Linked DNA regions of Rattus norvegicus. The protein of the gene in region 3 purifies or fractionates together with the protein of the main gene of each other region. This does not show direct contact. Links are inferred from orthologs where the notes say so. Each region holds a gene or a part of one and is shown on either strand. Other genes may lie near its edges.

What was found.
Region 1: the proteins of Psme1 (region 3) and Psmb10 purify together in Homo sapiens (affinity purification with western blotting; 3 studies listed by BioGRID and IntAct, with this or other methods). This does not show direct contact. The link is inferred for Rattus norvegicus from reciprocal best matches to the Homo sapiens genes PSME1 and PSMB10.
Region 2: the proteins of Psme1 (region 3) and Psma5 purify together in Homo sapiens (co-immunoprecipitation; 5 studies listed by BioGRID and IntAct, with this or other methods). This does not show direct contact. The link is inferred for Rattus norvegicus from reciprocal best matches to the Homo sapiens genes PSME1 and PSMA5.

Annotation. Positions count from the first base shown.
Region 1 is NC_086037.1:50,739,885-50,745,056, forward strand, and holds Psmb10 (proteasome subunit beta type-10), read right to left. Parts: upstream 3,409-5,172; 5' UTR 3,295-3,408; coding exon 3,239-3,294; intron 3,040-3,238; coding exon 2,952-3,039; intron 2,866-2,951; coding exon 2,768-2,865; intron 2,656-2,767; coding exon 2,515-2,655; intron 2,257-2,514; coding exon 2,141-2,256; intron 2,034-2,140; coding exon 1,975-2,033; intron 1,405-1,974; coding exon 1,253-1,404; intron 1,099-1,252; coding exon 987-1,098; 3' UTR 924-986; downstream 1-923. Other genes in the region: Lcat (phosphatidylcholine-sterol acyltransferase precursor), read right to left, coding at 4,735-5,172. UniProt on the Homo sapiens protein: The proteasome is a multicatalytic proteinase complex which is characterized by its ability to cleave peptides with Arg, Phe, Tyr, Leu, and Glu adjacent to the leaving group at neutral or slightly basic pH.
Region 2 is NC_086020.1:198,582,650-198,587,912, reverse strand, and holds the start of Psma5 (proteasome subunit alpha type-5), read right to left. Parts: upstream 3,409-5,263; 5' UTR 3,282-3,408; coding exon 3,253-3,281; intron 1-3,252. UniProt on the Homo sapiens protein: Component of the 20S core proteasome complex involved in the proteolytic degradation of most intracellular proteins. This complex plays numerous essential roles within the cell by associating with different regulatory particles.
Region 3 is NC_086033.1:33,037,047-33,042,064, forward strand, and holds Psme1 (proteasome activator complex subunit 1), read left to right. Parts: upstream 1-1,924; 5' UTR 1,925-2,032; coding exon 2,033-2,071; intron 2,072-2,844; coding exon 2,845-2,877; intron 2,878-3,020; coding exon 3,021-3,083; intron 3,084-3,176; coding exon 3,177-3,287; intron 3,288-3,363; coding exon 3,364-3,409; intron 3,410-3,529; coding exon 3,530-3,627; intron 3,628-3,854; coding exon 3,855-3,923; intron 3,924-4,006; coding exon 4,007-4,074; intron 4,075-4,180; coding exon 4,181-4,235; intron 4,236-4,314; coding exon 4,315-4,401; coding exon of another isoform or gene 4,402-4,491; exon of another isoform or gene 4,492-4,578; coding exon 4,579-4,659; 3' UTR 4,660-4,801; downstream 4,802-5,018. Other genes in the region: Emc9 (ER membrane protein complex subunit 9), read right to left, coding at 4,838-5,018. UniProt on the Homo sapiens protein: Implicated in immunoproteasome assembly and required for efficient antigen processing. The PA28 activator complex enhances the generation of class I binding peptides by altering the cleavage pattern of the proteasome.

The DNA.
Region 1 (5,172 bases), on a different chromosome or scaffold from region 3:
ACTGACAAGTCCTTTAGCTTGTTTACTATCGTATATACAAATTCTCATGATAAAGTCTTAGGGGGACCATACAACCAGGGGTCAAGGGTGTCCAGCCTGGAGGTCAACCTCTCTAGAAAATGTGCCTTATCAGCTCTGAAGCCCCAGTGGAGCTTAGCTACCGTGAGGGCAGGATGCTCCTACCAGCACCCAGAGGGCCTGGCACTCAGTGAAGAAACCTTGCCAGGCAACCTTAGCAAAGGCCTCTTACTTAGCTGTGTCATCTTTCCCTATGAGTCCACAACCACCCCTTCCAGCCTAGAGAACTTGGGAGTCAATCTCCCTACTCACAGTCCCACATGTGCGGACAAGGCCCAGCCTTCCACAGGCTCACACATGTTTGGTCATAAAGAGGGGAACTGTAGGTGGTAAAGGGCACTTGGTGAGAACTTGCCCGTGGAGTCAGGAAGCAGTTGCTCTATTAGCATTTTAGCCTCCTAAGGACCCAGGGTAGACGGTGGACATAGGTGTTTATTGACAAGACAGGGAAAGTTTGGGGTTGGGGATTTAGCTCAGTGGTAGAGCACTTGCCTAGGAAGCGCAAGGCCCTGGGTTCGATCCCCAGCTCCGGAAAAAAAAGAACCAAAAAAAAAAAAAAAAAAAAGACAGGAAAGTTTAACAGTGGGGGTCGTCTGTCCGTGCCTTCCAAGACGGGACTTGTGGGGTAAGCTTCCACCATGTGGAACTATGGTTTGGGGATGACAGGATATAGCTTTGTACTCCAAAGCTTGTAGTGCCTGCTAGGGCTGGGATTCTGCATGGATTGATCTCTGAGATGGCGATGAAGAGCAGCTCAGGCCAGGAACTGAGAATGAAGTCCTGAGAGGGATTCCTCAGCCTCAAAGCTGGCTTGTCCCACTCCTCTCAAGAAAGACAGTCTTCTGTTTAAGTGTTTGTATCTCCTGGATTTATTCACCCTTGTTCCAAACTCTACATCTTAGGCCACTTTACTCCACCTCCATAGCCTGCACAGTTTCCTCCAGAAGTTCCAGGGTCAGAGCTCTCACTTCCTGGGTCTGGACAGGTGTGGTTCCAGGAGCAAAGCGGTACTGGCCAGCTCTAGAAGGGAGGAGGGCCAGCCTTTTAGATCGCAGCCTGTTCTGTTCTGGCAGACCGACCGACCGACAGACAGCAGACACACACACACACACACACACACACACACACACACACACACACACACACACACGGCCCTCCCTTCCCTTGCTCCTACCTCTGCACAGGCTCTATGGGTGAGCTCAAAGCTCTCTGCAGTTTGGCGCCTCCTGCAGTGATCACACAGGCATCCACACTGCCTCCAGAGCCTAGGTCACCCAGGATCCCTGCTGTGATGGCTTCCACCAACAGCTCTTGCGCGGCCTCCAGCTGTGGTAGTGGGAATGAGGTTGAATGGAATCTAGTGTTACCTCACTCTAACCTGGGGGCTTTCTTAAGCTCGAAGCCTAGACAAGTTGCTCTTTATGTAAGCTCAACATCCTTTCTCTTCCCTCCATTCAAAATTCCAGTCCCTTGGCTTCTGACCCCCTCTCCCGAAAGACTCTGTGCCCTCCACCCACTGTCCTCTGTACAAAATTCTCAGTGTCGCTTACACCTATAGCCTTCCTTCCAGCAGTCTGCCCACCCACTCTGTCGCGAGTTTCTCCGTGGGTCTTGGTTATCTCTGAAGCACAGTTACCCACTTCTATCCCACTCCAAAGTACAGATCTCAAACCTACTACAGAACCCCACTGGGCTCTTCAGTAATCTGCTGTGAGCTTCAGCTTCTCTCTGTGGCCTAAGCTTGGTTATTGACTGGACTTCACTTCTTCAACTTTACTCAGTTCCTACCCAGTAGTCACCTTTACCCCTACAAGCCTTCCTTGTTTCTATACTTGGCCAGGGTTTTTCCGGCACTCCCCGCCAGTGAGCGTGAAGTAATGGGCAGAAGTCGCTCACCGTCATGTTTGGCTGGAACCGGTCCTCCAACAGTGCCACGGCTGCATCCTGACCAGAGCCTGCAGGTGGAAAGGGGCATCTGAAGTCAGCTGCAGCTGCTGAGGTATAAACCTTGAAAGTAGGGTTGCAGGAGCAAGATTCATTTGAAAAAGGTGGAAGCGCTCACCAAGGGCAGTAAAAGGCAGACGGCTGTAGGAACCGTGTGGGTGCACGCTGTAGAGCTGCGGTCCGTTCAAATCAACCCCGCCCACGATCAATGATGCTCCCACGTGGCCTTGGTACCTGTGGAAGAGTGGGCATGGTTACTGTCAGCAGGAGCCAGACCCCGCCCATTATATTGCTTTTTGGTCTGAGTCCCACCCCTTCCTTTGGCCAGGCGGCCTACAATTGACGTCTCTTCCGGAACTCAGCTTGATGTCTTCTTCCGGTCTCCCTGCTGGTTGCATCCCGCTTTTTTTTTTTTTTCCGGTCTCACCTCCTGTCATCCCCACCCATCTGCAGATACCCCCTCTAAGGGTCGTCTTAGCCTCACTTCCTCACCGGAAGAGCGTCTGACGCAAGATACGGGTGACCGTGGCCACTCGAGGTTCACGGCCGGTGGACAGAGCATGTAGTTCCATTTTGGAAGCTGCCATCCGCGTGGTCATCTCAGTGTCCGCAGCTACTCCAGCCCCACAGCAGCTAAGGGAAAAAGGGATTATGGATGTGGACAGGAACTTGCAGGGACATAATTAGGCGTGAGCGACAGTGCAACTTATGTTTGAATATGGGGACTGGCCCGGTAGATACTGACTAGATTTTGGGGGCGATAAAGTGGATCTTCTCGCAGCTTTTATCCGCCACAACCGAATCGTTAGTAGCCCGCGTGTCCGCACCCAGGATGACTCCATCCTGCAGAGGTAGAGCCCAGCCTTAATGCCCACCTGATCTTCGCAGTGGCTGCCCTTCTAGCCCTCCAGCCCTATAACCCCGCTTACACGGAACACAAGTCCGGCGATGGTAGTCCCGGTCTTGCGTGCAAGAGGGACCCGAAGTCCCGGAAGGACGTGTTCCAAGGACGCATTCCTGGAAACATTGAGGTGGCTCTCATTTCAGTTATGAATCTAGGGAGGGTCCTTGAATCCGTCCCCGAATCCATGTCTACTTTCCTCATCTCCTGGGTTAAGCCTCTACTTGGTCACCCAACATAGGATAGGGTTCCCCCCACTCCACCAGTAAAACAAGGCACTAGCAGCTCGCGACTTGAATTCCACTTCCCCTTCACCTCTGGCAGTTCTCGAAAGAGAAGCCTCCTCTGTGTTCCACTGCCTGCTTCAGCATCTCCGGGCAGGAAGGCCAACTGAGATGCGGGGGTCTCGATGGGTGGATCAGATTTAAAAAGCAAAGTCAGAGCAGAGGCGTCTGTCGTGGCTTCTGTGGGGCTTTTCGGGTCGCTTCCTACTTTCGCTTTCACCCCCCACTTAGTTCAGAGGCTGCTTATGCTTTGTGCATCTTCTCTTTCACTTTCGCCTTTGCTTCTAGTCCCAGGTGGCTTGAGCCTGAGCCAGGCCTTCCACAGTGCGCCTTAGTCCCTCTGTCTCCATCTCATCTGACACCCCCGAGCACTGTAAGCACATGCGTATATTCAGGAAAAATACGCACACAGCCAACTCCTTAAAAATAAGTAGAAATCAAGCCTTTTGAGGCTTAACTATGTGTATGAGTGAATGTGGCATGTGCATGCCAGGGGCCCACTGAGATTGGAAGAGGGCATCAGATTCCCTGGAACTGAAGTTACAGATGGTTGTGAGTCACCATATGGGCATTGGGAACAAAACCTAGGTCCTCTCCAAGTGCAAGAAATGTTCTTAACTTCTGAGCTCTCAATCTCTCTAAAGTCCCAAATGAAACCTTCTTTAGATGAACGGTCATTCCTTCAGATCCTAAACTTTTTTTCAGCGTAGCTCAGTGTAGCCCTGTCTGTCTTGGAACAAGCTTGGTAGACAAGGTTAGCCTGGATGAAGAGATTAAAGGCATGTGTACCACCACCTGGCTCTAAACTTTTAAATTTTGTATGACTTATTTATATGTGTATTGGTGTTTTGCCTGTATGTCTGTGAGGGTGTCAGATCCCCTAAAGCTGGAGTTGCATACACTTTTGAGCGGCCATGTGGGTGCTGGTACTTGAACCATGGTCCTCTGGAAAAACAGCTTCTTTCAATGGATGCTGAGCTATCTCTCAGGCCCCTTTCATCTTTAGTGCTGAATCCAAGCTCTTACATTAACAATCCCAGCCCCAGCTGCCATATTTCAAATTCTATTTGTTTGTGTTTTTGAGACAGGGTCTCAGTGGTCCTGTCTGTCCTGGAACTATGTAGATCAGAGTAGCCTACACAGAGATCTGCCTGTCTCTGTCTCCCAAGTGCTGAGCTAAAGGCGTGCACCACCATACTCTATTTTTAAATTTCTGTATCCAACCAGAACTCAGAAGTTGGTTTCAAATCATATTTCTGTGTTCCCATTCCAACAGCTATACCCAGACCTGAATATTGGCACAGGTCCTGAGAAGGAAGGCACAGAGCAAGCTTCTTAGCAGCTCAACCAGGACAATGAAAATCTATTTACACATCTCACCCTGTCAGTCCAGTCAGAGACCTTACCAGAGCCCATTGTACCTCATGCTCCCCCAAGAGCTGGGTCAGATGATGCATGAAATCAGGCAGGTGAGGCCGCCTTCCCCTTACCCAGAACACACTGCACTTATTCATAACAGCTAAGTCTTTATTCCTTGGTGGGGGGACCTAGGCTGGCGGTTGGGGACTTAGGAGTGCCATGGCGGTAGGCACCCAGTAGGATAGCATTAATATGCTCCAGTGTCTTATTGCTGAAGACCATGTTGAGATGATCTGTCCCATTCATGGGCAGCAAGTGTACAGCCTGTGACTGGCGGCCCTGCCACTGGCCACAGAGCTCAGTGCTACGTGTGGCTACAGTGTCGTCCCCATCTTCATAGAGTGCAGCCACCGGGTCTTTGTAGGGAAAGTTGTGGTCATAGATGTAGGTGTGGGCTGTGGGCATGCCTACACCGTATAGACAATATACTTCTACACCAGGCGCTGGGAGGCCTGCTAGTAGGTCACGAGACTGTAGAAACATGTGCCAGCCTTCTTCAAAATGAAGATCTGCAAAAAAACGCTCGAAGTCTTGGCCTGTGTAGTT
Region 2 (5,263 bases), on a different chromosome or scaffold from region 3:
AGTACTGTGTTGCTGATCCCTGCAGAGACAAACTCACTATTAGCTACAGAAGCTTTCAGCACACAATTACAATTTAAAAAATGTTTCTGGATAAATGAATATAAATACCTGTAATCCTTAGTTCATGAACTCTAAACCTCACAACAGTATGCATATACCACTGTTTTCAAATTTTGTTTAACCAAAACTTTCTTCAAAAGAGATTGTATGTGTGAGAGATATCAAATAAATAGTTCAAAGTTACTTAGCAAAACAGAAGCAGAATCAGTTCAAGAAAGCCTATGTAGACAAAGCTTTCAACTATTCTACTTCACAGTCTGAGAATTATTCTCACCATCCAGTTCCTCATGCCCTCCTCAACCAACAGATCACTAAAGCCATCCAGAAGGAAGTTCAAGGTTCTAAAGCACAGCTGACAAACTCAGTGAAAGGAAAACTGCGGTCAGAAAATCTCAGATTGAGCTGGGGACCAGTTCAGTTGTAGAGCTCTGGCTCTTGCCCACTGCATATAAGCCCCAGGTTACACATACACACACACCACGCACACACGCACTAAAACTGACCCATCCTGAGATTGAGAACCAGGTTTATCACTAGCTTTGAGGAAAAATAAGAAATTGTCCTTGCCTTTATGACAATTTAAGTAAACTACAGAAAAGTGAAAGAACCCTATAAACTTATGTGACTAATTTTTTTGTACCCTGATTTGGAAGTACCATCCTAGTAAGCTCTGTCTTCATCCTCCCAAATTTCATTGCTTACTTGAGATGTTGCATAGAAACTAAAACCAGTCATTCTAAATTTCTAGTTCCAGTTTGCCTTTTACCTAATTAATCTAAATTTGAAACAATTCCTCTTGAATAGCCCAATTACAACCATCATTCAACATTTTCCAGTCTTAAACAGTACCTTTTAAATCTAGTCACTCTGTAAAATCAACTCACCTATACCATTCCCATTATTTTAAGACACCCACAGCTTCTGAGTTCCTCCATAACAGAATGTTCTGAATGATGACTCACTTCTCCCTGCCATCTCCTTTATCCTACCACATGCTAAGTCATACTAACTCATATGCTCCTCCTCCATGGTACCATCACTTCCATCCCTACGGCCTCGTTACCCTTTACCTAACTATTGTAAAAGCCTCTTAAAGGAAGCCAACTTGTTCTTCCAATCAATTAATCTTTATAAAAACAAGTGTGATGAGGTAACTTCTTAAAAGGAAACACTAGAGTCTGACACAGTGGCTCATGAGTGTTAACTCCAGAACTCAGAACAATCAATCAGGCAGAAAGGATCCTCACAAATTCAAGGCCAGACTGGGTGGGCCAGTTAGCTCTAGGTCACCCTGGGCTATAGAGATACCCTGTCTTTTTAAGAAGAAAGAAAAAAAAAAGGAAAAAAAAAAAGACCAAAAAAAGAGAGCTAGTGAGCTGGGAGAGCAGTTAAGAGCACTAGGGGCTCTTCAGAAGAAGATGCTGGTTTGATTCCCAGCACTTACATAGTGGCGAAAACCCACCTGTTATTCCGGCTCTAAGAGATCCAACACCCTCTGGCCTCAAAGGACACCAGGCATGTACATGGACGTCTCCCCAACCCCCAAAAAAGGCCAAAAAGAAAAAGAAAACTGATGGCACACAGTTGCCTACAGAGTGAGATCCAAATTCTTAACAGTCTATCCGAGCTGTCAGTATCCTGGTTTTTCCATAGCACCTACTAGTCCCATTATATGCATCATACAAATGTGGTAGTCAGCCTGGACGTTTTTCAAATGTGTGTTATGTCTTTCCACTGGTCCTCCTTTGTTCTTCCTTTACTATCTGTTGGGTCTCGTGGTCTTGGTTTACTAAAAATCCTACTTGCTCTGGGCCTATCTGAATTATCAGCCTCTTTGTGAAGTTTTCCCCAACCTCCAACGATGAATGCAACCTCTCATCAGAACATCCAGTTGCTGGCCTAAGATTCCTCTAGTAACATCAATACACTTCTGTCTCGTATTAGTTACACAAGCAAACAGGAGAGCAGGAATCTTGGTTCTGCTCACTGCTGTAAAACCAGCTCCCTAAACAATGCTCCTTGTACTGAGCGAAAGATCAAGAACATTGGATAAATAGAGGCCTGAACTTTAGTCTTGGCAGATACAAAAGAAAAAAAATCCACAAAGCAACTAATACATATAAATAAATGGGCAAAGCTCAATAAAGCCCTTCGGGTGAGGATCACGATTTTCTCAAAATTTTATCACCTAAAGATGACTCCCTTCAATGCTCTGGAAGCCAAGTGTTAACGACCATTTTACTTGACAACAGGAAATAGTTTTAAAACTTCAACTGTATTTTCTGAGTCAGCAAAAGGTTAAAAAATGGCATTCCAGGTGCCACAATTTTGACAGCCTCGATATATACTTGCCAAGAAAAGTGATTTCTCATACCACCTGGAAAAAAAAAAAGTCTGCCTTCCCTAACTTTTAAAGGAACTCAGCGGCTTGCAAAACTACTCAAAACAGAAACTGAAAGTTACAGTATCCACAGCATTTATGACAGTTATTAGTTAGCATTTTCAAGACTTGATTTTTAGGTTGTTTTTTTTAAATAAACACAACCACAAAGCTTTGCCTTTACAAAACATTTAGCCTTCAACACAACACAAAAATTAACTTGCTCTCAATTTTTCCCCCTCTTTGGTCAAATGGGATCAGCATATTAAAACTCTTCTGAGAACTACTATACATTCTAGTTCCTATAAAACCAGACTTCAGGCAATGTATCAGATAATAGCTGTAACTGCCTTCGCGCTTTAAAAAAAGACTAAAATGTACAGCATAGCACGGATTCCTACAAACTCATTCAATAGTCTCTGGTAGCTTTCTATTCGAGGAAACTCATTTCATTATTCTTTTAAGCAGTCATACTTAGGCTGAAAAGACGAACACAAGGCTGGTGAGTCCCTAATCTACTTCAGGTTAAAGGTTGGAGTCCGGACCCCTCTCCGCCGCCTGCCTCAAGCAGCCCCAGCTTCTCGCTTCCGTGCGGAGTCAAAAGTAGCGGTGATTCAGCGGTAGCACAAGTGCAACGGGTCCGCTCCAGTCTAGCTTGGGCAATCTCGCCGGGCGCCTCGGGAGCCAGATTCCCCGGGTCCCGCCAGACTTAGGTTACCCGGGTGCCCCATGACACTGCAGAACCCAGGCCGCGGCCCGGGCCCAGGCCCGCCCACCCAAATCTCGACCCTGCTGCTTCTCGCTGTACGAACCTGTCGTACTCGGACCGAGTGAGGAACATGGCGAGGACAGGAGGAGGCGGCAGTGGCTACGCGGAGTTCCCAAAGGCCACACGACTGAAAGCAGCACCCTACTCAACCACACCGCCACAGCACCAAGGATCCTGCGGCCCTCTGCGCGTGCGCACGCGACCTTTTTAGCCCGCCCTCCCGTGTCTCCGTTCTATTGGCTGATAGATATTTTCGCTGCAATGATTGGGCTGACAAGCTTCCTCACCTGGATTAACTGGGAGGGCGGAATTAGAATGCACTTCCGCTTCCCGGCACCCTTGGTTGCTACGGGCGCTGGGACTTGAGGCAACTGGTGGGAGTGAACCTCGCAGAGGTGTGCGCTCGTCGCGTTTTGAACTGCTGCAAGACTGGGACTGGTAGTTGGTTGTAGGGATCGTGACGTAAGTCTCGCCGACTCGCGTGATTGCAGCCGAGGGACACCAGTCTCTTACTCCGCGTTCACTTGCCCAACTCTTCGCTGTCTTCCCGGCTCTGTGGCAACCGGAACCAGCTTTGCTGAGGACTTTTTGACTTAGGTAGAGATGTGTGCGCCTCAGTGCAGTCTGGACCAGCGTGCCCCGCGATTCTGTCAACCGGGCTGATTGAAAAAAAGTTTTAAAAATTGATAGGTTCGGGGGCTGGGGATTTAGCTCAGTGGTAGAGCGCTTACCTAGGAAGCGCAAGGCCCTGGGTTCGGTCCCCAGCTCCGAAAAAAAGAACAACAACAAAAAAAAAAATTGATAGGTTCTAATCTGCAAGAACGTTTTTCAATTTCCTGCATAGGTAAGATTATTTTACCACGTCTTTCCTGGATACATACATACACATACCACCACTACCACCGTAGCTATCCAAGTTTGAGACCCGAAGACCCAGAGTTCAGGCCCCGAGATTTAGATTAGCCACTGTTTTTTCAAGAAGAATAAGTACCTTCTTTTTTGTATGTGCTTCCTGTTTCCTCTTCCTAAGGGTAGAAGAGCAACTTGAGAGCTTTTTAGAAACATCGTAAATGAATCATGTATCAAAGAAAGATAGGAGGTTAAGAAGTGACTCTCTAGGAATGTAACCGGTATAAACCTCTGCACAGTCTTGGCAGGTGTGGGGTATATAGGACGGTCAGAGTACAAAGTTTCAGGTAAGTGGAGATATATATACACCAGGATGACTAGTGTTAATAATATCTTACACTTGAAATTTTTCTAGGAAGGTAGATTTTAATCACTACCCAAAAAGGCAAGAGGTATTGAAAGTTAATTTAATCATGATATATACATACATCAAAACATAATTCTGGTGGCTGGAGAGATAGTTTAGCAATTGAGAGCACCTGGTGCCCTTTTAGATGCCCAAATTCAGTTCTCAGCATCCTGGTCAGGCTCCTCATAACCACCTTTTATTCTAGCTGTAGGGGATCCTCCACTGCCTTTTTCTGGCCTCTGCTGGCACCTATATATGTGTCACACTTCACACACACACACACACACACACACACACACACTTAAAAGTCTTTTTAAAAAATATCATTCTGGGTTGGGTGTGATAGTGCCTTTAATCCCAGCACTCAGGAGGCAGAGGCAGGAGATCTTTCTGAGTTCAAGACCAGCCTGGTATGCTTAGTGAGTTCCATGTCAGCCAGGGCTCTGTAGAGAGACCCTGTCTCAGAAATAATTTTTTAAACATCACTTTTTATATTGTAAATGTAAGCAACTGCTGTTTGTCAATTACACCTTCATGAAGGGGAATGCATAGGGTGGAGGAAGAAGTCGGGTAATGGGCCATATTTATCTGAAGGGGAAATCTAGTTCTTGGTTTTGTTTTTAGTGCAAGTACTTACTTCTAGCCTATGCTGGCTTGGAACCATGCGGCTTAAGTTGTCCTAGACCTCAAGGCAACTTTCCTGTCTCAGCTTCCCAAATCCTAGGATTACAGGTGTGTAACACTGAACACAACTCTAGCTGATTGTGGGTAAAAAAAAAAAAAAAAAAAAAAGGAA
Region 3 (5,018 bases):
AAGCTGGGCATGGCTATGCACACAGTTTAGCCAATGGGTGAGCTCCAGGGTTAGTATGAGAGTGAATAAGGCACGGGAGGGCGGGGGAGTGGTGGTGAGGAAGACACCATTCACCTCTGGTTTCCATGAAATCATGCATGGTGTATGCACTCTTGTTTTGTTTTGTTTTTAAGACATTTATTTATTATATATAAGTACATTGTTGCTGTCTTCAGATACAGCAGAAGAGGGCATTGGATCCCATAATAGACGGTTGTGAGCCACCATGTGGTTTCTGGGAATTGAACTCAGGACCTCTGGAGGAGCAGTCAGTGCTCTTAACCACTGAGCCACCTCTCCAGCCCCATACACTCTCATGAATATACAATGCAGAGACAAGTTTAATCCCCACAACGACATCCCAGTCACTGGCGTTCCTATTGTTTAGTTGTGAAAATTTTATTTTTTATGTGTGAGGTGGGTGTTTTGACTGCCTGCATGCCTCTTCACCACATGCATATAGTGCCCGTGGAGGCCAGAAGAAGGCCTTGGATCCCCTAGAAGTGGAGTTACAGGCAACTGTGAGCCGTCACGTGAGTGCTAAGAACTGAACAGAGGTCCTCTGGAAGAGCAGCCAGGGCTCTCTTAACCATTGAGCATATATTTTTTTTTTTTTTTTGGTTCTTTTTTTCGGAGCTGGGGACCGAACCCAGGGCCTTGCGCTTCCTAGGTAAGCACTCTACCACTGAGCTAAATCCCCAGCCCCCATTGAGCATATTTTAATGTTGAACAAAAAGCCAGGTATGATGGGGCAGGCCTTTTATCCCCGCACTGGGGAGACAGGTGAAAGAGGCAGGCAGTTTCTGTGAGTTCGAGGCTAACCTAATCTCTACAGCTGTGAGTTCCAGGACAGCCAGGGCTACTAAGAGAAACCTTGTCTCGAAAAACAAAAACAAAAGTTGAAAAAATAATTCTGGATGTGTGAACATTACATGAAACTCAAACTCTCGAGTCCATCAGTTAAGTTTTATTGAAACTCACTCGCACTAATTAGTTTCTTGGCTGCTTTCCTTTCAGCGCAGTTAACACTACACACATATTAACACTTCCCCAAACTAAATAGCTGTCATAAACCCTTGCCGAAAGTTTGTCTGGCTCCTGTTTAGACCACTGTATTATCCTGTCTCAAAAGTAAAACAAACAAGCAAACAACAACAAATGGCTAGTATCAGAGTCGCAGGTGCCATGGAGGTACTGAAACAGGTAATAAACTGCAGGGGGAAGGTACTTTCTGAAGAACGATGGCGGAACATTCCCTCTGAAAAATTGACATCGAAGCTGAGGACTGAGTGAGGACGTTGAGGGGAAAGAGTGTTGCAGGTTTCCCAAGGGCAGAGAGTCCTTGACGCGGGAATAAACACTACCTATAAGTTTCTGCTTGTGTAATGGATGAATGTGCAAAGCAATGGACTTGAAGTGGACGGCGATGATTGTGAAAGAAAAAGTCTTTATAGATTTTATCACAGAGGCCTGAATCCCTGCTGTGGGGGCGTGGTTTATAGGGGAATAGAGGGCGCTACAAAGGCTTTGTGCTCAACCTATTGAGTCTCCCGTAAGGATGGTGCGGGCGCCTCAGCGTAGCGGTCTGGTGGGCGGGAGTTTGTTGGTGAAGGCAGGGGACCACGCCGGGAAGACCAGATCTTACCCCAGATCATTAAAGATTTTAAACCCCCATGTAAGGCTTATTATCGCCTGGCCCTAGCAGAAGTAGCGGGTGCCGGGAAATGGGAGCCGAGTGTGGGAAGGGGCAGGGGTACTGGAGCTGGCTGGGAGGCGGGTGTGGCTGCGGAGCAGAGAGACCCGGGCGCCGGGCGGAAACGCTACTCGGGCTGCTGGAGGAGCCCCCGCCTCTCAGTAGGCTGTCCCCGCCTCCTCCAGTCCCTCCACTCCCCAAACCCAGGAAGGCGGTGCAGGTTTCGAGCTGTGCTTTCGCTTTCCCTTCCCGCTGCCCACCCCAGGCTCCGCGTGCGGCGTTCAGCCCCCGGCTCTGGCCATGGCTACACTGAGGGTCCATCCTGAAGCCCAAGCCAAGGTGAGCGTTGCGGGTTCGAGTGGGGACGAGAGGCTTTAGAGAGGCGTGGCTCAGAACGAACCAGAGTTCTAGGGAAATCGATCCACAGACCCCCACTCCCACCCCTACCCCCCCGCACCTGAGTTGGGGGTCCTGCTCCTTAGCCTACTGCCAGAAGCACCTGATCCCCTGGGAGTAGGTGAGGTGGCCGTGGTCCAGTGGGGTGAAGTGAAGCCTAGAGCTAGTGTGAAGTCTGCTGGCTTGCAGCCAGGGCTACACGCACAAACCTGGAGAGGGACTTGCCCTTGCCAACTCAGACTTTCCCTCAGAAAGGGCACACACCGGCACCCTCTCTGCCTACTGTCTGGTGGTTCTGTTTTGTTTGAGACGGGCTGTGTATTATGTAGCTCTGGCTTTCCTGAAATTGGATATGTAGATCCGACTGGCCTTGAACTCCCAGAGATCCACCTGTCTGTACCTCTGGAGTGCACGCCTGGCCAGAGGGCTTTCTTATCACTCCTTGCACAACCATGGTGGCCCCAGAAATGTTATTATCTCCAAATTCAGCCCCCTTGGGGATCCACTGAACTCTCCCCAGATTCCGGTATGCCTAAAACTACCATACCACCTCAAGCCACCATATATAGGGACCCATTTAGCTTTCTTCAGGTGTGGCCTTAGAGGGCTCCATTCCTCTATTCCCCAGGTCAGGCCCTACACCTAAAGGGAACTGTCCTCAAAAGAACTGGCCTTAAAGCTAGGTTTCTGAAGGGTTGCCTGCCTGTACTCTACAGGTGGATGTGTTTCGTGAGGACCTGTGTAGTAAGGTAAGACCTACAACATCGGGAACCCCACCTCCACCCAGCACCTACGACTCTGGCCTCCCTCGCTGGGCGCTGTGACCCCTTACTTCAGTGCCTTGGAAAGGGTGTTTGCTTCTGACCCTATCCTCCTCCACTGCCTTACACAGACAGAGAACCTGCTTGGGAGCTATTTTCCCAAGAAGATCTCAGAGTTGGATGCCTTCTTAAAGGTAGTGGGGCCCCCGGCAAAGACTCAAGAGGATCCCGGGGGTGGGGGTGGGGTGAGATGAGGGGAATGCACTCATCTCCCGCCCCACTGCCAGGAGCCAGCTCTCAACGAAGCCAACCTGAGCAATCTGAAGGCTCCATTGGACATCCCAGTCCCTGATCCCGTCAAGGAGAAAGAGAAGGAGGAGCGGAAGAAGCAACAGGAGGCAAGCTGGCTGGGACACCTGGGAGGTGGGCCAGCCAGAGAGAAAATCAGCCTCAGTCCTGTCTTCCTCCCCACAGAAGGAAGAGAAGGACGAAAAGAAGAAAGGGGACGAAGACGACAAAGGTACTAGAACCGATGGGCTGGGAAGAGACTGGTGTCTCAGGACTTCCAAACTGCCTTCTACTTTCCCCTTTCCAAATCTTACACACTCCGTCATTCACTGACCCACTGCGCACTCTCCAGGTCCTCCCTGTGGTCCAGTGAACTGCAATGAGAAGATTGTGGTCCTCCTGCAACGCCTAAAGCCCGAGATCAAGGATGTCATTGAGCAACTCAACCTGGTGAGCTCTTCCACCCTCAACTCTGCTCCAGGCATTGTCCTCTTGGTCCCTGCCAGTTATTTCATGGCAAAGCAGGTGGCCCAGACTGGGGCTCAGCAAGGACCTGGCATCCCACCATCCGCTTGTGGGCAGACAAGGGAAGACTAGGAACCTGGGAATTAGGGTACGTATACGGAGGGGAGGGAAGGACATGGTGATAAAGCCATGATGCATTCCTTTGCTCCAAGGTTACTACCTGGTTGCAGCTACAGATACCTCGGATAGAGGATGGGAATAATTTTGGCGTGGCTGTCCAGGTGAGAGCACTGTCCCCCTCAGTCCTCAGCCCCCCTGTGCAGCCAGCCCGTGCTTCCTCCCAACTCTGCACTTTCCTTCTCAGGAAAAGGTGTTTGAGCTGATGACCAGCCTTCATACCAAGCTGGAAGGCTTCCAAACGCAGATCTCTAAGTGAGTGGCCTCGCTCAGTATACAGCCAGCACACTCTGCTTTGGGCACAGGCCTGGGCTCCCTCCGTCTCTCCCCACTCTTTACAAACTACTTCCACTTCCCACAGGTACTTCTCCGAGAGGGGTGATGCCGTGGCCAAAGCAGCCAAGCAGCCTCATGTGGTAGGTAAAGCCCAGGTCAGGCTGTGTCAGGGAAGACAATACGATTTCCAGTCAGGACTAACTCTTAGAGTTTCTGCAGGGTGATTATCGGCAGCTGGTGCATGAGCTGGACGAGGCGGAATACCAGGAGATCCGGCTGATGGTCATGGAGATCCGTAACGCTTATGTGAGGAGGGGAGAAGAGGGCAGGGGTGGGCAGAAGCACTTTTCCCAGGCCATCCAATTTCTGACCAAGCCAATGTGGGGTGGAGGATGACTTAAGAACAGCCTTTCCAAAGGTAGAGATGGGATACAGAACTACTGGGGGCCTGCGGCTGACCTCCCCTACTCTGTGATCCTATAGGCTGTGTTATATGACATCATCCTGAAGAACTTTGAGAAGCTCAAGAAGCCCCGTGGAGAGACAAAGGGGATGATCTATTGAGCCCCCTCTCTCGTTCTATGATGGGTATAACAGAAACCTTCCTACTCTTGACTAGGAACTCTAGACTGCACCCAGTCTTCTTCCTGCTGGGGTCTCCTCCCTCACTCTGCCTTCCAAACACAATAAATACATAGTTGCCCACCAGCCCACGTCTTTATTGTATTTGGACCCCTCTGGCTTAGGCATGTCCATCGGTGGAACCACTCCATTGAGTGATTTGAGTGTTGAGCCGCTGGTTGGTCCAGTCCTGCCGAATGTCATCAAGGTGGCAGTCAAAGTCCACAAGATGCTGGTGGGCCCGGCCCTCCAGCAGTGCTCCCACCATCTGCCGTGACTCCTCCCAATCTCTCCACATCACT